3 linked regions of the Arabidopsis thaliana genome follow. The protein of the gene in region 2 purifies or fractionates together with the protein of the main gene of each other region. This does not show direct contact. Each region holds a gene or a part of one and is shown on either strand. Other genes may lie near its edges.

Region 1 (6,875 bases), on a different chromosome or scaffold from region 2:
CTCGCTATGCACAAGAAAGAACACCTCGTTCTTGCACCAACGAAACACATCTGATGCTATATATATCATTAGGACGTTTCTGCTGGTAGATATGGCGTGACCAATGGTTATTTTTCATTGCAATATCCCTTTTTGTTTTAATGAGTACTATGTTCTCATTTTAACGAATAAAAATGTATCAGTGCTCTTGTTTTTGGACTAGAAAAGAAAGTAGTCCGATGTTTAATATTCGGGTCCCTTTAATATTCCCTCTGGTTTACAATATTTTAAGCTATCTTAGTAAACATCTATAATGTGAATATATGACTAGAAAACAAAAACATGTCGCTAACAAACAATAATATGAATTTATGACGAAGAAACCAACATGTTGCTAAAAACAATAATATGAATACATGAGGAAGTTTCGTTGACAATGATAAGTAGTGGAAGACTTGACTTTGGATAGCATCTTGCCAATATGTTGTCCTACGTCACATACGAAAGAAAAGTAGGAAAAGAAAAACTTTTGTTCTGCGAAAAGAGAGAACCACGAAAGGCAAGAAAAAAAAAAACAGAAGTAGAGATCGTATATGAAATGACGAGTCTAAAATGGAACAAACCCATGTAACTTTGAAATCTACTATTGATAACGCGTTCAACAGTTCAGTCTCCTCGATAAACAAGATTATAGAAGAAAAAGTATTACAAATAAAACAAAATCGTCTAGTACTGTAAAAAGACAGCCGGTTGAGGAAGAATCCATCGGTACCATACCGGAAAATATACCGGCTTAGGAAGAATAATAACAAATTACTCTTTACATATCCTTTAAACGACTCTTCTCTCCATGTAGTAAACAGAATCAACCAACGAAAAATTGCTCAAGAGAGAAACGTAGCCTAAACCTTTTACCTTTTACCTTGCACGCTATCATTCCAAGCCTGTGAGAAATCATCGTTATGGTAATGAAAATTAGACCAATTAAAAGTTTAAGGATTCAAACATTTATGGATTGCATTGAGAGATAGAAAATGTTTCCAAAAGATTAGCTAACCTCAGCTACCACCCTTTTGTTTGAGGGTGATTTTGTCTCCAAGACTTAGAGCAATCCCTTGCGTCTTGCTCCTTATCCTTATGTAACCACTCAATGTTCCATCCGTTTGCTTCTCAATACTCAAATTCACAAGAGCATCCTCACCAAACACACTTTTTGCATATAAGTTTGCTGCAAGGAATCCACATTCACCTGCTATTGCAGATCTGCAAGTAAAGAAGTATTAATTAGTAAGACGAGTTTTTCGTTTCTACAGGATGAAAGAAGAATTTACACTTACGGAGCAGTGAGACATTTCATGTTTGTGGATTTGATAATGTGGTCGAGGAATTCTCTTTCGTTTTGAATTGTGGTGTTCACAGCAACCTGACATGAATAATACAACAGGCAATGGTTATACCAAAATCTAACAAACAAACAAACAAAGAAGGTAATACTTTTAAAAGGTTTCGGTAAATTACCTTGTTTTCCCATTCAAACTCTGCCCACATAGTTCTGAAAGCAACCTCTGAGCACACAGCAGGGGAGATATAGTCCATGATATCAATGTGTATGTCGTTAAGAACCACAACATTGCGCTCCATTACATTTGATGTCTCATAGACGATGTTCCCGAATATGACTCCTGTCTCTGTGGACGAGACCTTGATGTTTGCTTTAATCTGCATGCTTCTTTCAGGTGCCAGACTATAGTTCTGAGGACGCTCAACAAGTTTGAGATCACCCATGGTTGCTAACTCCAAGCACAAGTTCTGAAGGGTTTCCTTGGTTCGGTTGATTACTGTAACTTCAAGAGCAATATCATAATGGTGTACCGTTACATATGCTTCAGCATAGACTGGGTCACTGAATCCTGTGAGTTGAAGAATGCGGTTAAGTTTGTTAGCATCGTTCTCGTCCTTGGTGAATTCTCCAGTTGCACGCTTTAGGTCATCTTGTACCTGGTCTTCCAACTCAAGTTGACTCATTCCCTGAAAGAAATTTATCATCAGTAAGCTCATCTACAGACCAAAAGAAATAAACATAACATGCCATTATATACTTTTGCCATCTTTCTTTAAAAATGGAGAAAAAATCGGATATGAACTGTAAGAGAAAGCAGATAAAAACTAAACAGAGTGCGAAGGAAAATCATAAGGAAAAGAACACACAATAAAGCGAGGGAAAGCTTAGAAAATAATAATATTACCTTCCGACTCTTTAGATGGAAGAAGTCAATTAGATCATCCGGTTGAGCATGAGTTGTTTGGGTCTTTGCCTTCAGTTCCTCCATCTCTCTAAGCTGTTTTTCAGAAATCATCTTGACAAAACTCTGGCGGCAGGATTCCAACCATATCTTTTTCATCTCAACATTCCTATGGCAAAGCAATTTTATGCACAACATAATCCGCTCATACGAATCATTATCAATAGGGTGTGGAGAAACAGGAGATTGCCCAAGTTGCAAAATAGAAACCATGATTAGCAAAGCCTGTGATACTGTCTTGTTTACTTCAGTTTTGGAAGACTGAACCTCTTCCAACCTAAGAACAAGTTTGGTCAACGTGCAAGCAACCACAGCTCCGAGGAAAAAATCACCAGTTAGAAGGAGTGCCCTCAAATTTCCAGAAGTCAGTGATCCTTGAACAACTGTAGGCGAGGAGAATGTGGTTTCAGAGGCTGCGCTTTGTGTAGCATAAGTTCCATCAGCAAGAATAACTGGCTTTCTAGAGGACACCATGGCAGAAGAGGTAGGCTGAATCTTCTTTGATGTCTCAGTTGGCTCAGACTCCTCAGAAACAGAGTAAAATGGTAATTCGCCAAGGCATTGTGTAATAGTTGAAATGCCACTCTCAACTTCTGAAAGTGATAGGCAATACTCACCAATGATCCAAAGTGCACAAGGGCAGACCTTTCCTGCACGGATCTGATAGAACGTGTCCAACAACCTGGTGATGATTGAAACTCTCAACTTGGGATTTGTTTCTATTATCTCTCTAACGAAAACAACCACGTCAAGAGCTGAAGCCACGTTGCTATCTCCCAGGAAATCCATCAGAAGATGGACCACTGTGCTTGCAACTTCGGGGAACTTAACTGCACAAGCATGGATGGCTTGAATAAGCATTTGCCTGTACTCTCCATTCTTCTCAAGTTCTCCACTCTGTGTCTTCACAACTTCTTTCTTCAACATTTGAACGACTTCATTAATATTATGATGGGTAATCAAGTCAAGGGCAATGTCAAGTGTCTTCCTGCGGATATCAAGGTTTGGGCTTGAGAGTGCTCTGAGCACATCGATTATCAGCTCAACCATGATATCTCTGTGCAATGTCTTAAGCTCATACAACCGATCGAGCAAGATAAGCTTCACATTGTTGTCACTCTGAGAAAGAAGAAGTTGGCAGTAGGTGTTGGCAGCAGCTCGAATAGCAGTAGGGGCAGATGAGAGAGAAACAAGTGTCCCAGCACATTCATAGATAACTGCAGAAGAAGTAGCACTTAACAGAGAAATAATAATTTTAATATATTTTCCCTTCTCCGCTGGTTTAGTCTTACACACACTTCGAATCAGCTCCAGCACCACCATCTGAAGTGATTCATTCCAGTCTGAAACCTTGTCAACATTGCTCAGAAGATAATTCACTGCACGTTCTTCGGCACAGGTAAAGAGCATTAGAAATGCATTTCTCTTGGCAGAAGGATCTTGTTCTGTTGATAGAACTTTCTCGATCATTTCAGGTGCATCCACGAAGAGTTGGTCGCCATGTGGAAGTTTATATATCGACATGATTGCCAGAATTGCATTCCTGCGAACAAATGGATGGCGATGCTCCAGATTTTGTAACACTGATGGAGTCAAAGGTTCCACTATTTCAGTCTCCTTCATCCGACAGAGAAACCTCAGTGTCACTCCACGGATGTACTCATTCGGATGCTGAAGGTTATTACGAAGATTCTGGCATATCAAAATCATTTCAGGCAACACCTTCCCCTTCGAATCTGTCTTTTCAATCAGCTCCAGGTACAGCAACAGAAGCTTTTGGATGGTGTGGTCTTCAGAAGGCAGCACATATCTTATAATGGTAATGAAAAGCTGAGGAATGGTTTCACCATTCAGCAAAAGCATAATTGCCTTCTTCATGGCATCAACTTTAGCTTCAACATCATTTCCTTCGAGAGCTTCTTTAATCTCATTAGCAACTGCTGGAGTCCCTTTGTCATAGTGAACAAGCATGGTACTAGATTTGTCCATCTTTTCAGGTGCTGCACAAAGAGTGAAAAATAAAATAAAATTGTGAGCTCATATGAAAAGGAAAAATCATGCAAGAACAAGTGTACCTATGTTAACATAAGAAATTCAAAGCGAATAGAGAATAGGAACCTAAAATACTGAAAATCGATTTAAAGATAAAATGAAGTAGTATAGATCACAGGTAACAATCAATATATCCAAAATTTTAAGAATTTTCTTTTAATTACTAAGTTAGTATAAGCACCTTACTAGTATCTTCATCACTGCTCGAGTAAGTTCTAAACAAGAAGTTTCAGAGTATCCCCATAATACTACTCAGCAATAATAATCTACACCTCTCTACATATATTTCAGTACAATGAAGAAAGCATCTATGTTCTCAAATCCACGGTATATGAGAAAGCATCATAATCGCTGAAGAATATTCGGTAATGTCTAATCAACGACCCAAAGATGCAAGACATTGACAAATTCAAATCCTCAGATCCAGCAATACACATCACTTTTACTACAACTACGACCAAAACATTAACATAAAATCGAATAATAAAAAAGCTTCGGATCAACCAAAGTTCATATCACAAATGCAATATATCTCCCCAGATTTGATGAACAAACAATGGAATCTACATAGTTCGCAGTCTCACTCAGCTGCACAAACATGAAAATCGTTTGCCTACCGGGATCGGATCAATATTCAACGAGATCAAGCAAAGAACGCCAGAGAATATTGAACATTGTAGATTTTCACAAAGGAAAAGCAAAAGTGGGATCGATCTCTACGAAATCTGAGTCGCAAGTTTAACAGATAGAGACGAACCTCAAGGTAGGAGATCCACGGAGTAACAAAGCTTTGGATCCGTTAGAAGATTTTGGATCTCGGAAAAAAAAACACTCGCACAAAGTGAGAGATTATGAAATGTCCTTAATATTATCGTGGATTCGTCTTCCCTTGTGTTTACTCCTCCAAATCCGATTTTGTTTTTTAGTTTTTTTTCCTTCTGTTTGGAAAACGAAGAACGGAAAGAAGCGAGTCAACCTCGCAGGCCCAAATATTGATTGTTGACAAGCCCAGTCCAATAGAAGTTGAGAAAGCATAGCCCCTACTTTTTTATTGTTTCCAAAACGACCCCAAACTTTTAAAAGTGAGCGTAATTAGGAATTATGTCAGTTTTTCCTTGAAACGTGCTCCAACTTTCGGTTAGAGATGGATGATTTTATGATAGAAGATGATGTATTTGGATCTTTCCTCTTCTACTCGCGTCTAGTATTTTCTTGTCTAATGATGTTAGCGATATCTAGTTACGCGAATGTGTATGTGATCGTCCCTTGGTACCTTGAGGCAAGTGATTTAAGATTATTAAATTTTGCTTAAAAATTATTGCTTGGTTTTCTTGAGAATAGAAAAGGCTGTAAGAATCAAATGTTATGGGTTTGGTTGTGAAGCAATTGGTTTCTTTGGCTTGTAGATTTTGAATATGGTCCATATTAATACATGCGTTTCATTACAACTTACTTGCTAACATAACCCGTATTATATAGCTACTAGCAAATTAAAGTCTAGCTTTGACAATTGAATAGTTCACTTCAAATGCATATGAAAGAAAAGAATAGAGATCAAATCTGAAATGACGAGTTCTAAAATGGAGCAAACCAAATGTAGCTTTGAAATCTACAATATCATAAAGTTCACGGTTTAAAGTCCTCAACAAACGACATTATAGAAGAAAAAGCATTACAAATAAAACAAAATCGTCTAGTACAGTAAAAAACACACTGCCATATGAGATGAAGAAATCCATCGGTACCATACCAGAAAATATACCGGTTAAGTAAGAACGATAGCCAATTACTCTTTTTACATATACCCTTGAACGCCTCCTCCCTCCATATAATAAGCAGATTCAACCAACGATAATTGCTCAAGAGAAACGTACGTAGTCTAAACCTGTTACCTTTGCACGCCACTGTGAGAAATCATCGGTATGGTACTGAAATTTAGACCAATTGCGGTTTAAGGATTAAAACATGTATTAATCGAGAAATAGAATATGTTTTGAAAAGATTAGCTAACCTCAGCTACTACCCTTTTGTTTGAGGGTGATTTTGTCCCCAAGACTTAGGGCAATCCCTTGCGTCTTGCTCCTTATCCTTATGTAACCACTCAATGCTCCATCCGTTTGCTTCTCAATACTCACATTCACAAGAGCATCCTCACCAAATACACTTTTTGCGTATAAGTTTGCTGCAAGGAATCCACATTCGCCTTCTATTGCGGATCTGCAAGTAAAGAAGTATTAATTAGTAAGAAGAGTTTTTCGTTTCTACAGGATGAAAGAAGAATTTACACTTACGGAGCAGTGAGACATTTCATGTTTGTAGATTTGATAATGTGGTCGAGGAATTCTCTTTCGTTTTGTATTGTGGTGTTCACAGCAACCTGACATAAAGAATACAACAGGAATTGGTTATACCAAACTCCAACAAACATACGAAAAGAAGGTACAACTATAAAAGGTTTCAATAAATTACCTTGTTTTCCCATTCGAACTCTGCCCACATAGTTCTGAAAGCAACCTCTGAACACACAGCAGGGGAGATATA
Region 2 (7,646 bases):
CTGCCTGTTGTAGGTATTAACAATTTTGCAGTTTGATTTATTACATAAGGTCTTTGATATGGTTATTTTTGACAGTTGACTAATAAACGTCTTTAGGAAACTTGTATGAGAAAATAAACTTTTGTAAAATCATAAGATGCACAACACTTAACAAACAAACAAAAAACGATGTACCCCACGATCAAATAATATTCTTAAGGAATATGCTTTGGGTCATGAAAACTTTTAAATTCAGACATGTAAAAGGCTACCATATAGTATTTTTAGAAAGCAAATAGTAAAAAGCAATTGAAACTAGAAATAATAGAAGACTAAAAGTTACTTTAAACACAAATTTTGATCCATTAACCTTGGACCACAAGTTGGTGTTTTAAACATGAAAAGGTACCTTATGTTTATGGTTACAGGATGTGATTTAGATATCTATATTATAAAAATATGTGGATGTATGGAAATTGCAAAAAAAAATTCCTTTGGTTGTAATTTACCCATTATTTAATAATTGGAGCCTAAAAAAATCATTTGTGCCAAAAGATAGACAAATATTCTTACTTTTGACTTGGCCAAGTGAGAAGTTATAAACTATTTGCCGTTCTCATTTGTAAGAACGCCGTGTTGTTCAACAAGTGCAAGCTCAAACAGCAACACAATGTCAGATTAGAGGTCCAGTACTAGTACTAAAGAATGACATCAATACTTGTCCAACAAGAAAACAGCAAAAGTAATAGTATCTTTTAAATCACGTAAGCAAGTGTTGTGGTAGTGTATTAACCGGTATTTCTCATTCCTGCAGCAATACCATTGATTGTGATAAGCAAAGCATCTCTTAGCTTATTGTTATCTTCATCACGTCTTAGCCTCTTAAGAATTTCAACTTGTAACATGTTCATTGCGTTGAGATACGGAAGTCTACTATCAATGAGTTTCTTCAAGCTCTTATTGTCCTGCAAGAGTTTCTCGTGACCACTTATCACAAGAACGTACTTCTCAGTAGTCATTAGTTCTTTTCTTAGCTCAGTGCCAAGTCCTCTTCTTTTCTCAGACACAAGTTGTTCGTCGTAGTGTTTGGTCATTGGAATGTCTGCTTTAGCTAACACCATCTCTATAAGTTCAAGGGTGGACTGAAAAAATGGCCATTCTTTGTACATCTCTTTAAGATCATCCGCATGACCCTTCTCAGAAACTCCCTTTAAACCAGCCCCTACACCAAGCCAAGCTGGAAGAACAAACCTTGTTTGAGTCCAAGCAAAGACCCAAGGGATAGCTCGGAGATGTCCTATTCCACTAGAGCTCTTTCTTCGTGTTGGTCGGCTTCCTATATTGAGGAAACCAAGTTCTGCTTGCGGTGTTGCCTCATGAAAATAAGATAGAAACTCTGGGTTTTCATACACTGTGCTTCTATAGTGTTGGCAACTGATTCCAGAGATTTCTTCCATTAGGTTTCGCCATTTTTCCTCTCGAGGTGGCTGAGGAGGCTTTAAGGTAGCGAGTAGAACCGCGGTTGTGTATACCTCTAGTTGCCTAACAGCCGTTTGTGGTATCCCAAACTTAGCTTGAACCATCTCACCTTGCTCAGTTGAACGCAAAGAGCCCTGGTCAAACCAGTTCAATCATTTTAGCGTAATAGCTCATTGGTCTAGTGCCATGGCACCAAAAATGTATATATATATATATATATATATATATATATATATATATATATTTTTAACCCCGTATTGACATTAGTAACAAAACAAATAATACAATCATTAAATATGTTTTTAAATGATCAATAAATAATAGTTTGGAAACTGACCATTACAGAGCCTGGTGGTTGGGACTGAATAGCGAGATAGGTTGGACCACCACCACGACCAATGCTTCCTCCTCGTCCATGAAATAATGTTATTTTGATTCCAAATTCATTACAAGCAGCAACAACATTTTCTTGAGCTTTGTAGAGTTCCCATGCTGCAGTAAAACGTCCAGCATCTTTTCCAGAATCAGAGTATCCAACCATCACCTACAAGTAACATTGTTACAAGTTCTTAGAACCTCCCTTCAAAATTAACATGTTTAAATTCACGTGTAACGTACCTCTTGGTGACCGTTGTGGTTCTTTTGGATGTGTTCCCTATACCAATCGATTGAGAGCAATTTCCTTATCGAAGGACCAGCGGCTCTTAAATCATTCACCGTTTCAAAAAGAGGTACCACTCGTAGCCTATTCAAATAAATAGATAGTAGTAAGAGATCTTAAGACTACTAAAAATGTTACTCATGTATGTACTTATAAAGTGATTGCTATAAACAATGTAATATCTTGGTGGAGATTTGAACTCACGTTCCACCAGGACATGGTTTTCCATGTTCGCTAGTTAAAGCAAGTCGAGCATCTTTTTGAAGAAGTTCCACAGCGAGGACATCACTTGCCTGCAAGTAACAAACAAATCTATGTCATTGTTTTGTTTTAATGAAAATGTTTAAAGTCGTCATGCATAAGAAAATTATACATTTGAAGCCATAGAAATAACGTAAGCGCCAAGTGATTCACTTCCAAGTTCAGCAGCGACTCGGAATGTGTCCAATACTTCTTTGACGTCAGGACCAACCTACATAAATAAAATACAGATAAATAAATAAAATTTAACAACTTTCATAACATAACATTGCTCTTTCTTGTAGTTTACGCAATAGATATTTCATTATGACCTTAATACATTGAGGAACAAGAGGTCGTTTCCCTTTTAGTTCTCTTGTCAAAAATTCTAATTTCTTCTCTTCATCCCATTCACTATAAGTACCCATATCCAAGTATGTTGTAATTGCATCCAAAGCTTCAGAATGTCTTGCAGCTTCCTAGTAATTGAATCACACATATTATTGAATTAGAGGACCAAAGCATGAAGATTTAAGAAAACAAACTAAAATCACCTGGCGTAAGTCGAGTTTCACCAAAACCATTCCAAAGGTAGAAACTCTACGAATCAGATCAGCAAGTCGTCCATCAGCTAGTACCCTAGCACCCGATGATTGCTGCAAAAACGAATGATGTTAAATTTTATGATTATGGATTATTGTGGTAACACAAGTTTCACATGGAATCAAGATTGCTAACCAGAGATTCGTAACAGAGGAGCAATGGTTCAAGAAGCTGATCTGATGTTTCATAGGAGTTTTTAGGGTCATACTCACAAGGAAGACCCTCAATAAGAAGTTCAAGAAGTCTTCTTGTCTTCACAAGCTATGATCATAAATCATTAAATTTGAAAATCTGTTGGTTTTGACATGCTAAATCTGAATCTTTATATTATCTTTGATTGAAAAGCTTATGATCTTTACCTTTTCTTTTACTTCTCCAAGAACAATACGATAAGGAGCACTTCCAGCTCGTTTAAGTGGAGGTGGTTCTAGTAGCTTTTGGAAACTAGTCTTCCCAACCTGAGATTCCTCAAATAGTTTTCTCTGGAGAAGAAGTTGAGAAGTAGATGAGAAAGAACCTCGAGAAGTAAGACCGGACCGCGAACCATTGTCAATTTTCTCCCAGTCGCTTTCCGAAAAGTCTTGTTCATTCTGCTTCTATATAAACAAAGATTAAAAGAAAAATTAATCAAAAGAGGATGGAGAAATTTCTGTAAAATATGTTTCATCTATATGTCAGCACATTTAAAGGCTTTGTGTTACCTGGAGATTGGGTGGCATATAATCTGTCGTCGCAATTTCAAATTTGGTATGTCGTGATTCACCAAAGTCTGCAATGGGATGTGATATAAAACATGCATGGTTTTGAGATATTTACCAAATGCAAGAGATTAAGAAATCTTTTTACCAATGCAAGCAGGAAGGTGAGCTCTAGCTGGAAGTTGTGTTGGCAAGCATGATGAACTTTGTTGCTTTTGGAAATTTGATTTTCCTCTATCATAATCTTTTTCAGAATTTTAAGGGGAAAAAACATCAACTTTATTCAGAACAAAAAATTTTTATGTAAATGAACAAGTAAAGATTTAATAGAAATTGAAGCATATATTTACCCTTTTCAAGAATTTTATCAGCTAATCTTGAAAACCTATCACTGCATCGATCCGTAGATAATTCAAATCTTAAGCTATCAACCTCTCTTATGTACAAATCAATAGCCATCCATCTAGACAAGAGAGATACTTCTTTCGTGACCTGGACAAATGATATCACAACATTCAAGTGTGTGTTATATATCAAGAGAATATGTGACAATCAAATTTTCTGATTGCAGTTTTAAAAGATCTTCTTCATCAAAAAGTAAATGTTAAGAATCTCATATTACAAGTGAGATGTGACCTAGAGTAATATAATAACGACCATGGACTAATTTTCATTACCGGTTGGTTTTGAGTTCAAATCGTAAAATATCAAAAGACTAACCTTTGCCGTGACATTTGGATTTCCATCTCTATCACCTCCCATCCAAGAACCAAATTTCATAGGAGTGCATGTTAGTGGAAGTGGCTTCCCTGTAAACTAACCAAGAAAATACAAAATATCAATATTATCTTAAGATAAAGTATAACGATTATTCATATATTCTAGATACCTAAAGGTAAAATAATACCTTCTTCAAGGAATTGCTGACACGACGCAGGTATTGTGGTACTGCTTTCCAAAGGGATTGCTCCACTATGTTTAGACCTAAATGAATGAAAAAGAAAGAGAAATAGTTTTTTAGAGTGAAACTTTTCTGTACTTTACAATTATATTTAAAATACCAGCTCTAGCTTCATCAACTGGAGTAGGTTTCTGACGTCTAAGCTCATCAGTTTGCCACAGTGAAGTAATCTCTCTAACCTTTAAGTATAAGTAACTCTTAGTTTATAAGTTACTCTGCTGATAAAATTTATATGGAAGATATTGAGATGGAGTGTACCAAATCTTCAATGAGCGTTTCGCGATCTTCAACGCTTAGATCTGATCTAGTGTTATATTCTAGAAGATGCTGCAAGAACCATATACTTTTAACTCTCTCAAGTAAAATTAAGAGATATAATCCATATATGTTAACATCATTAGAACTAACTTACAGCAATTCTAATATGCTTGTACTGCAAGGTTCTTCGATTTATTTGGGTAGGATGAGCAGTAAGAACAATTTCGACCTCCTAAAGCGCGATAAACAAACAAATATCAAATAGAGAAAACAACACTCAGATACGACCTTTGTGTTAGATAAAACGAATTGAAATGTTTCTAAAATGATACAATATGAAGTAGCTAGACCTGTTTGCAAACAGTTTTATAAAGTTCGTCTGGAGAGATTCCACTTTGCAATAGCTGGCTGAATATATCATCACAAGATCTTGCAAGTTGTGTAACGTTATGGACTTTGTGCATTCTGGAATAAAAATGTTTATTATTAGAATCCACAATGTTTAAGTTTAGAATTATCTATTCATGTTTATTACTTGTAATATTTTTGTTGTAATGTGATTACAAAAATCATGACCTGTGATGAGTGTCTGCAATGCCCATTAAGTTAAGAGAATGAGTGAATGTACGAGCCAACGTTAAGGCTTCTTCTAGTGGCATTTTGGATATTTCACTAGTCAATTGCTTCTCCAAAAGGTTTGCGGTATCCTCAATACCAGCCATACGCAAATTTAACGCACTCTGAAACATTTAAAAACCACACAAAAATAAGTCGTATCATTCATATTTGTTTCGATAAGTTGATTGATCTATATGACTATATCTCTTATTACTACGATGTGAGATTCTTATCAAATGATCTAAGCATATGGAAGCGAATAGACAGAAGATGAAACCTGAGCAAGAATCCGAATGCGTTCGACTTTTTCCATGAATGGGTTGCCAACTTCCCTTTGTAACACATCATGGAAGAGACTACCGAGCAATTTGCAGTCATCTTCGAAGCTTTGGAATGAGATTTCCTCTGCGATATCGTCTGTTGTGTCCGTCATTGTATCAATGAACAAGGTGAAGGAATGAATAATTGCAGTGATCAAAGTTAAATATTTTGAAGAGTGATTATATATGGTTTGTTAGCTATGGTGCTTAATTACTAATTATGGTGGTCAACGCAGTAAATTATGGCGTAGTTAAATTTGTGGTGCTAGTCATCTTTCCCCAAAAAAATATATTCTTATTTCTTAAGCTAATTTTCTTCCTTTCCAAACTAAACAACAAAACAAACAGTTGATATATTATAATTAAGAAGAAAAGAGAAGGAAATTCTACGATTTTTTTTTTTCTTTTTTTGGGTAAAAATTCTACGAAAGGAGTAACTGGTTTTAACTAACTCTGTTTTATCTTTGGACCTACAATTTATTTTGTGCCTCTTTGGTGATTGTTATTTTAACATACATTCTTATGATCGGAAAAAAAAACTAAAGTACAGTAAATGACATATAATTTGGCTAAGTCTTACTATCTAACAAATGACTACTCCTTCTATTTTTTAAGAAAACATAATAAATGTTGATTATAAATACATTATTTTTTATGTTTTACAGTTTTCTATAACTCAAAAAACAATGATAATTAATTTTTTTTTTTTAATTACAATTCATCAATACTAACCAATAAATATTGCATAAAAAACTTAAAAAAATCAATATTTTAGAAATAAATTTTTTCTAAAAAAATAATCATTTATAAACAGAAAAGTATATGTATATGTTATTTTTTACATAATCGTTCTCGTTATGGCAACATCATAAAGAACATATATTATATAATATCATCTAAATTTTTTAATAAATAAAATGAAAACAAGTGCAATGGAAAAAGAAACAGCGATAATTGTGTACAGCCAATCACACCGACACGGCGACACATTTGCCAACACGTATATAAACGCATAACCGATACGACATCGTTTTAAACTCAAATTAAGTCAACAAAACTAAAACACGACAAGAAAGGGTTTCACTGTGTTCGATAATAATGTCGACAGGAGAAGCGATACCAAGAGTCGCCGTCGTCGTTTTCATTCTCAACGGAAACTCAATCTTATTAGGTCGCCGCCGTTCCTCAATCGGCAACTCCACTTTCGCTCTTCCCGGTGGCCACCTCGAATTCGGTCTCTCTCCTCTCTCTCTTCTCTCTTTATATCACCCAAATCTTGATTTGATCTAATCTTTGTTCTTTGATCAGGAGAGAGCTTTGAAGAATGTGCAGCGAGAGAAGTAATGGAGGAAACAGGTCTAAAGATTGAAAAGATGAAGCTTTTGACTGTTACAAACAATGTCTTCAAAGAAGCACCAACGCCATCACACTACGTCTCTGTTTCGATACGTGCGGTGTTGGTGGATCCAAGTCAAGAACCGAAGAATATGGAACCAGAGAAGTGTGAAGGATGGGATTGGTATGATTGGGAGAATCTACCAAAGCCTTTGTTTTGGCCACTTGAGAAATTGTTTGGAAGTGGTTTCAATCCTTTCACTCATGGTGGTGGAGACTAATAGATGTAAGAGTTAATGATTGATTTGGGATTGAATGTTGCAAATTGGGCATTTGGTCTAGTGGTATGATTCTCGCTTAGGGTGCGAGAGGTCCCGAGTTCAATTCTCGGAATGCCCCTCTCTTTTACTCTTTTTTATTGTATTTTTGGTTTCTGTTTTCCTAATTAGTAATAAACTTATCATGTGTCCTATCGATTTTATTTCTCTATGTTT
Region 3 (7,227 bases), on a different chromosome or scaffold from region 2:
AGCCCAGTCCAATAGAAGTTGAGAAAGCATAGCCCCTACTTTTTTATTGTTTCCAAAACGACCCCAAACTTTTAAAAGTGAGCGTAATTAGGAATTATGTCAGTTTTTCCTTGAAACGTGCTCCAACTTTCGGTTAGAGATGGATGATTTTATGATAGAAGATGATGTATTTGGATCTTTCCTCTTCTACTCGCGTCTAGTATTTTCTTGTCTAATGATGTTAGCGATATCTAGTTACGCGAATGTGTATGTGATCGTCCCTTGGTACCTTGAGGCAAGTGATTTAAGATTATTAAATTTTGCTTAAAAATTATTGCTTGGTTTTCTTGAGAATAGAAAAGGCTGTAAGAATCAAATGTTATGGGTTTGGTTGTGAAGCAATTGGTTTCTTTGGCTTGTAGATTTTGAATATGGTCCATATTAATACATGCGTTTCATTACAACTTACTTGCTAACATAACCCGTATTATATAGCTACTAGCAAATTAAAGTCTAGCTTTGACAATTGAATAGTTCACTTCAAATGCATATGAAAGAAAAGAATAGAGATCAAATCTGAAATGACGAGTTCTAAAATGGAGCAAACCAAATGTAGCTTTGAAATCTACAATATCATAAAGTTCACGGTTTAAAGTCCTCAACAAACGACATTATAGAAGAAAAAGCATTACAAATAAAACAAAATCGTCTAGTACAGTAAAAAACACACTGCCATATGAGATGAAGAAATCCATCGGTACCATACCAGAAAATATACCGGTTAAGTAAGAACGATAGCCAATTACTCTTTTTACATATACCCTTGAACGCCTCCTCCCTCCATATAATAAGCAGATTCAACCAACGATAATTGCTCAAGAGAAACGTACGTAGTCTAAACCTGTTACCTTTGCACGCCACTGTGAGAAATCATCGGTATGGTACTGAAATTTAGACCAATTGCGGTTTAAGGATTAAAACATGTATTAATCGAGAAATAGAATATGTTTTGAAAAGATTAGCTAACCTCAGCTACTACCCTTTTGTTTGAGGGTGATTTTGTCCCCAAGACTTAGGGCAATCCCTTGCGTCTTGCTCCTTATCCTTATGTAACCACTCAATGCTCCATCCGTTTGCTTCTCAATACTCACATTCACAAGAGCATCCTCACCAAATACACTTTTTGCGTATAAGTTTGCTGCAAGGAATCCACATTCGCCTTCTATTGCGGATCTGCAAGTAAAGAAGTATTAATTAGTAAGAAGAGTTTTTCGTTTCTACAGGATGAAAGAAGAATTTACACTTACGGAGCAGTGAGACATTTCATGTTTGTAGATTTGATAATGTGGTCGAGGAATTCTCTTTCGTTTTGTATTGTGGTGTTCACAGCAACCTGACATAAAGAATACAACAGGAATTGGTTATACCAAACTCCAACAAACATACGAAAAGAAGGTACAACTATAAAAGGTTTCAATAAATTACCTTGTTTTCCCATTCGAACTCTGCCCACATAGTTCTGAAAGCAACCTCTGAACACACAGCAGGGGAGATATAGTCCATGATATCAATGTGTATGTCATTAAGAACAACGACGTTTCGCTCCATTACATTTGATGTCTCATAGACGATGTTCCCGAATATGACTCCCGTCTCTGTGGACGACACCTTGATGTTTGCTTTAATCTGCATGCTTCTTTCAGGTGCCAGACTGTAGTTCTGAGGACGCTCAACAAGTTTGAGATCACCCATGGTTGCTAACTCCAAGCACAAGTTCTGAAGGGTTTCCTTGGTTCGGTTGATTACTGTAACTTCAAGAGCAATATCATAATGGTGTACCGTCACATATGCTTCAGCATAGACTGGGTCACTGAATCCTGTGAGTTGAAGAATGCGGTTAAGTTTGTTAGCATCGTTCTCGTCCTTGGTGAATTCTCCAGTTGCACGCTTTAGGTCATCTTGTACTTGGTCTTCCAACTCAAGTTGACTCATTCCCTGAAAGAAACTTATCGTCAGTAATTTCAACTACTGACCGAAATAAATAAACATAACATGCCACTATCAACTTTCGAACTTTCTTTGAGAATGCGAAAAAAAAAATTGGATATGAACTGTAAGAAAAAGTAGACACCAACGTAACAGAACTGAACAGATTGAAAAGGAAAACTCATATGGAAAAAAAAACCCAATAAAGCAAAGGGAAGCTTAGGAAGTAATAATACCTTCCGACTCTTTAGATGGAAGAAGTCAATTAGATCATCAGGTTGAGCATGCGTTGTTTGGGTCTTCGCCTTCAGTTCCTCCATCTCTCTAAGCTGTTTTTCAGAAATCATCTTGACAAAACTCTGGCGGCAGGATTCTAACCATATCTTTTTCATCTCATCATTCCTATGGCAAAGCAATTTTATGCACAACACAATCCTCTCATACGAATCATTATCAATAGGGTGTGGAGAAACAGGAGATTGCCCAAGTTGCAACATAGAAACCATGATCAACAAAGCCTGTGTGACTGTCTTATTTACTTCAGTTTTAGAAGACTGAACCTCTTCTAACCTAAGAACAAGTTTGGTCAACGTGCAAGCAACCACTGCTCCGAGGAAAAAATCACCAGTTAGTAGCAGTGCTCTCAAATTTCCAGAAGTCAGTGATCCTTGAACAACTGTAGGTGAGGAGAATGTGGTTTCAGAGGCTGCGCTTTGGGTAGCATAAGTTCCATCAGCAAGAATCACTGGCTTTCTAGAGGACACCATGGCAGAAGAGGTAGGCTGAATCTTCTTTGATGTCTCAGTTGGCTCAGACTCCTCAGAAACAGAGTAAAATGGTAATTCGCCAAGGCATTGCGTGATAGTTGAAATGCCACTCTCAACTTCCGAAAGTGATAGGCAATACTCCCCAATTATCCAAAGGGCACAAGGGCAGACCTTTCCTGCTCGGATCTGATAGAACGTGTCCAATAACCTTGTGATGATTGAAACTCTTAACTTGGGATTTGTTTCTATTATCTCTCTAACAAAAACAACCACGTCAAGAGCTGAAGCCACATTGCTATCTCCCAAGAAGTCCATCAGAAGGTGGACCACTGTGCTTGCAACTTCGGGGAACTTCACTGCACAAGCGTGGATGGCTTGAATAAGCATTTGTCTGTACTCCCCATTCTTCTCAAGTTCTCCACTCTGTGTCTTCACAACTTCTTTCTTCAACATTTGAACGACCTCATTGATATTATGATGGGTAATCAAGTCAAGGGAAATGTCAAGCGTCTTCCTGCGGATATCAAGGTTTGGGCTTGAGAGTGCTCTGAGCACATCTATTATCAACTCAACCATGATATCTCTGTGCAATGTCTTAAGCTCATACAACCGATCGAGTAAAATAAGCTTCACATTGTTGTCACTCTGAGAAAGAAGAAGTTGGCAGTAGGTGTTGGCAGCAGCCCGAATCGCAGTAGGGGCAGATGAGAGAGAAACAAGTGTCCCAGCACATTCATAGATAACTGCAGAAGAAGTAGCACTTAACAGAGAAATAATAATCTTAATATATTTCCCCTTCTCTGCTGGTTTAGTCTTACACACACTTCGAATCAACTCCAGCACCACCATCTGAAGTGATTCATTCCAGTCTGAAACCTTGTCAACATTGCTCAGAAGATAATTCACTGCACGTTCTTCAGCACAGGTAAAGAGCATTAGAAATGCATTTCTCTTGGCAGAAGGATCTTGTTCGGTTGATAGAACTTTCTCGATCATTTCAGGCGCATCCACAAAGAGTTGGTCGCCTTGTGGAAGCTTATATATCGACATGATGGCCAGAATGGCATTCCTGCGAACAAATGGATGGCGATGCTCCAGATTTTGTAACACTGATGGAGTTAAAGGCTCCACAATTTCAGTCTCCTTCATCCGGCAGAGAAACCTCAGTGTCACTCCACGGATGTACTCATTAGGATGCTGAAGGTTATTACGAAGATTCTGGCATATCAAAATCATTTCAGGTAACACCTTCCCCTTAGAATCAGTCTTTTCAATCAGCTCCAGGTACAGCAACAGAAGCTTTTGGATTGTGTGGTCCTCAGAAGGTAGCACATATCTTATAATGGTTATGAAAAGCTGAGGAATGGTTTCACCATTCAGCAAAAGCATAATTGCCTTCTTCATGGCATCAACTTTAGCTTCAACATCATTTCCTTCGAGAGCTTCTTTAATCTCATTAGCAACTGCTGGAGTCCCTTTGTCATAGTGAACAAGCATGGTACTAGATTTGTCCATCTTCTCCGGTGCTGCACAAAAAGTGAAAGAGAAAAAAATCTGTGAGCTCAAATGAAAAGGAAAAACCATTCACGAACAAGTGTTCCTTTGTTAATATAAGAAATAGAAGATGAATAGAGCAAAATTGTTACAATTGATTAAAGACATAATGAAGTATAGATCACAAGTAAAAACAAGATATCAAAACTTTTAATATTTCTGGCGATTTCAAGTTCGAATTACTGAATATAAGCACCTTACTAGTGTCCTCATCAGTGCTAGAGTAAGTTCTATACAAGAAGTTCAACAGTATCATCGGCGATAATCCATACCTCTCTGCTTGGATTTCAATACATTGAATACATGATCTCTATTCTCGAATCCGTGGTTTATGAGAAAACATCATAATTTCAGAAGAATATTCGGTAATGTCCAATCAGAGACCCAAAGATGCAAAACATTGACAAATCTAAATCCTCAGATCCAGCAATACACATCACTGTACTACAACTACGACCAAAATAATAACATAAAAACGAAAAATCAGTTAAAACAGCTTCGGATCAACCAAAATTCAAAAAAAAAAAAAATGCGATCTATCTCCCCAGATTAGATGAACAAACAATGAAATCTACATAATTCGCAGTCTCACTCAGCTGCACAAACATGAAAATCGGTTTCCTACCGGAATCAGATCAATATTCAACGAGATCAAACAAAGAGCGCCAGAGAATAATTGAACATTGTAGATTTTCACAAAGGAAAAGGCAAAAGTGGGATCGATCTCTATGAAATCTGAGTCGCAAGTTTAACACAGAGAGACAAACCTCAAAGGTACGAGATCCAGGGAGAGAGGAGGAGGAGATCCACAGTAACACAGCTTTGGATCCAAGAGAAGATTTTGGATCTCGGAAAACAAAACACTCGCACCAAGGAAGTGAGAGATCAAATGTGCTTAATATTATGGTGGTGGATTCGTCAGGTGAATTAACTCCTCCAAATCCTTTTGGGTTTGATTTTGGAAAACGAAGAACGGAAAAAAGCGAGTCAACCTCAAAAGCCCAAATATTGATTAACGACAAGCCCAGTCCAACAGAACTTGAGAAAAATATAGCCCCTATTGTTTTAATTGTTTCCAAAACGACCCCACACGTTATAAAATAAACTGAATACTGAAAGCATAGGACACTTTGGGTCAGAGTTTATAACCTAGCTAACAAACGGTGGTCAACTAAATTGATTTTTTTCGTCTATTTGATGTTCTATATAATATAAATTTAGTTAATCAACGGTAAGCTCAATGACTATAAGCCTCACAATACAAATTGATCTCCAAGGAATGTATAAGATTTCTTGAAAACAAGGCATCCAAATTTGTATCACGTTCTCTAGCACACCATCTGATACGCCTCATAAATCTGCATAGTAAACATGTTATAACTAAACAAGTATTTTAAGAGTGGTCAAATTAAATATCTAACTTAGGTTTTCATTTGAATGAGTTTGTATATAATGTTTTATGCTTGGGATATATTCTCGTTGCTATGATAAAGTCTCTTCTTACAAGAAAAAAAGAAAACATCCTATTAAAACTTCCTTCATATATAATGATCTATTAATTAGCTCAATAATGTATGCTTTGTTTGAATAAAATCATTCCCTACAAATAATCAATGTTCCACCGAAATGATTAGCACTTGTCATTGCGCATTATTAACATAGCATGTGTTTAGATTCGTTAGATGATATATACGTACAAATATGAAAGCATAAACAATTATGTGTGTGTGTGTATATATATATGGTAAGGATCGTACTAGCTAGATCTAGAGGCTCAGAAACAAATCTAACTTAGCATCCCAATGGAACAAAAAACTCTGATATTCATCATCATTATCATAGTTATCAGCACTCCACTTCCTTCTCTCTCTTTTCAAATCCCATCAAACAGAACACCGACAACATCAACACTAATTTTTTCTCAAGACAAAGCTCTAGCCCGCAACACCATTCAGCAGCAGTTTCTCCGACCACACAACATCTTACGAGCCAAGCTTCGTCTCCCTCCTCTCAAATGGAGCAATAGCCTCGCCCTCTATGCGAGCCGGTGGGCCAGAACCCGCCGTGGAGATTGCAAACTTATCCACTCCGGGGGACCTTACGGGGAGAATCTCTTCTGGGGAAGCGGAAAAGGTTGGACTCCACGGGATGCGGTGGCTGCATGGGCCTCGGAGATGAAATACTATGACCGGAGGACTTCCCACTGCAAGGCGAATGGGGATTGTTTGCATTACACGCAACTTGTATGGAAGAAGAGTTCGAGGATTGGGTGTGCAATCAGTTTTTGCAAGACCGGTGACACATTTATTATTTGTAACTATGATCCTCCTGGTAACATTGTTGGACAACCACCCTTTTGAATATTGTCTACACTTTATCTTTACCTTTATTTTCCTCAACTATGTACACTTTATCTTTGTTAATGTGAAATCTTGTTTTGATTCTTGTATGTTAGATAACGAAAATGATGAATTACGTTTTCTCTTGTCTGGATGTCATATATGCTAAACCTTTCGGGTAAGGTTTCATTTGTTATATAAGGCACCAATAAAACACATGATTTTTAGTGTTGCAATTTGTGTTTTGATATATCTTTGTTGCCGTAAAAAAAACAATGTTTGGCCGGTTTGATTGTGTTTCGGTTGAGTTGGGAGGACCGAGGTTCTTAAATTTCAATTCATGTTGACTTGGTTTGGTCTATGTTTTTTTTTTCTTTGGGATAATGGTTTGGTCTATGTTAGATGTTATTGACTTTTTATCCGGATTGACAAATTAGAACCGATTAAAACCGAACCGTAAATTAATGAGAGAATTAATTTGGGCCTAAGAGCCAACGAATTAAAAAAGCCCAACGCTTCAAAACTCAGAAATTGAACCCTATGGCTAAGATCGACGCCGGTTCTCATCGCCGGCCGAAACCTCGACTCGTGCCATCGTCAGT

The links. Proteins that work in one complex are often made in the same cells at the same time.
Region 1: the proteins of PPC4 (region 2) and AT4G31490 fractionate together in Arabidopsis thaliana (co-fractionation; one large-scale study listed by BioGRID). This does not show direct contact.
Region 3: the proteins of PPC4 (region 2) and AT4G31480 fractionate together in Arabidopsis thaliana (co-fractionation; one large-scale study listed by BioGRID). This does not show direct contact.

Annotation. Positions count from the first base shown.
Region 1 is NC_003075.7:15,266,856-15,273,730, reverse strand, and holds AT4G31490 (Coatomer, beta subunit), read right to left. Parts: upstream 5,286-6,875; 5' UTR 5,092-5,285; exon of another isoform or gene 4,516-5,091; intron 4,283-4,515; 5' UTR 4,272-4,282; coding exon 2,226-4,271; intron 2,008-2,225; coding exon 1,498-2,007; intron 1,403-1,497; coding exon 1,317-1,402; intron 1,243-1,316; coding exon 1,038-1,242; 3' UTR 1,037-1,037; intron 924-1,036; 3' UTR 501-923; downstream 1-500. Other genes in the region: CYP83B1 (cytochrome P450, family 83, subfamily B, polypeptide 1), read left to right, coding at 1-54; AT4G31480 (Coatomer, beta subunit), read right to left, coding at 6,347-6,551, 6,626-6,711, 6,804-6,875. UniProt on the Arabidopsis thaliana protein: The coatomer is a cytosolic protein complex that binds to dilysine motifs and reversibly associates with Golgi non-clathrin-coated vesicles, which further mediate biosynthetic protein transport from the ER, via the Golgi up to the trans Golgi network.
Region 2 is NC_003070.9:25,822,175-25,829,820, forward strand, and holds PPC4 (phosphoenolpyruvate carboxylase 4), read right to left. Parts: upstream 5,974-7,646; 5' UTR 5,931-5,973; coding exon 5,775-5,930; intron 5,620-5,774; coding exon 5,456-5,619; intron 5,345-5,455; coding exon 5,230-5,344; intron 5,112-5,229; coding exon 5,034-5,111; intron 4,949-5,033; coding exon 4,880-4,948; intron 4,801-4,879; coding exon 4,722-4,800; intron 4,645-4,721; coding exon 4,568-4,644; intron 4,477-4,567; coding exon 4,381-4,476; intron 4,153-4,380; coding exon 4,011-4,152; intron 3,905-4,010; coding exon 3,809-3,904; intron 3,732-3,808; coding exon 3,664-3,731; intron 3,559-3,663; coding exon 3,322-3,558; intron 3,224-3,321; coding exon 3,098-3,223; intron 3,016-3,097; coding exon 2,914-3,015; intron 2,839-2,913; coding exon 2,692-2,838; intron 2,592-2,691; coding exon 2,493-2,591; intron 2,413-2,492; coding exon 2,324-2,412; intron 2,204-2,323; coding exon 2,077-2,203; intron 2,003-2,076; coding exon 1,796-2,002; intron 1,593-1,795; and 3 more. Other genes in the region: NUDX1 (nudix hydrolase 1), read left to right, coding at 6,916-7,051, 7,126-7,433. UniProt on the Arabidopsis thaliana protein: Through the carboxylation of phosphoenolpyruvate (PEP) it forms oxaloacetate, a four-carbon dicarboxylic acid source for the tricarboxylic acid cycle.
Region 3 is NC_003075.7:15,261,165-15,268,391, reverse strand, and holds AT4G31480 (Coatomer, beta subunit), read right to left. Parts: upstream 5,239-7,227; 5' UTR 4,317-5,238; coding exon 2,202-4,316; intron 1,975-2,201; coding exon 1,465-1,974; intron 1,373-1,464; coding exon 1,287-1,372; intron 1,213-1,286; coding exon 1,008-1,212; 3' UTR 1,007-1,007; intron 924-1,006; 3' UTR 501-923; downstream 1-500. Other genes in the region: AT4G31470 (CAP (Cysteine-rich secretory proteins, Antigen 5, and Pathogenesis-related 1 protein) superfamily protein), read left to right, coding at 6,089-6,646. UniProt on the Arabidopsis thaliana protein: The coatomer is a cytosolic protein complex that binds to dilysine motifs and reversibly associates with Golgi non-clathrin-coated vesicles, which further mediate biosynthetic protein transport from the ER, via the Golgi up to the trans Golgi network.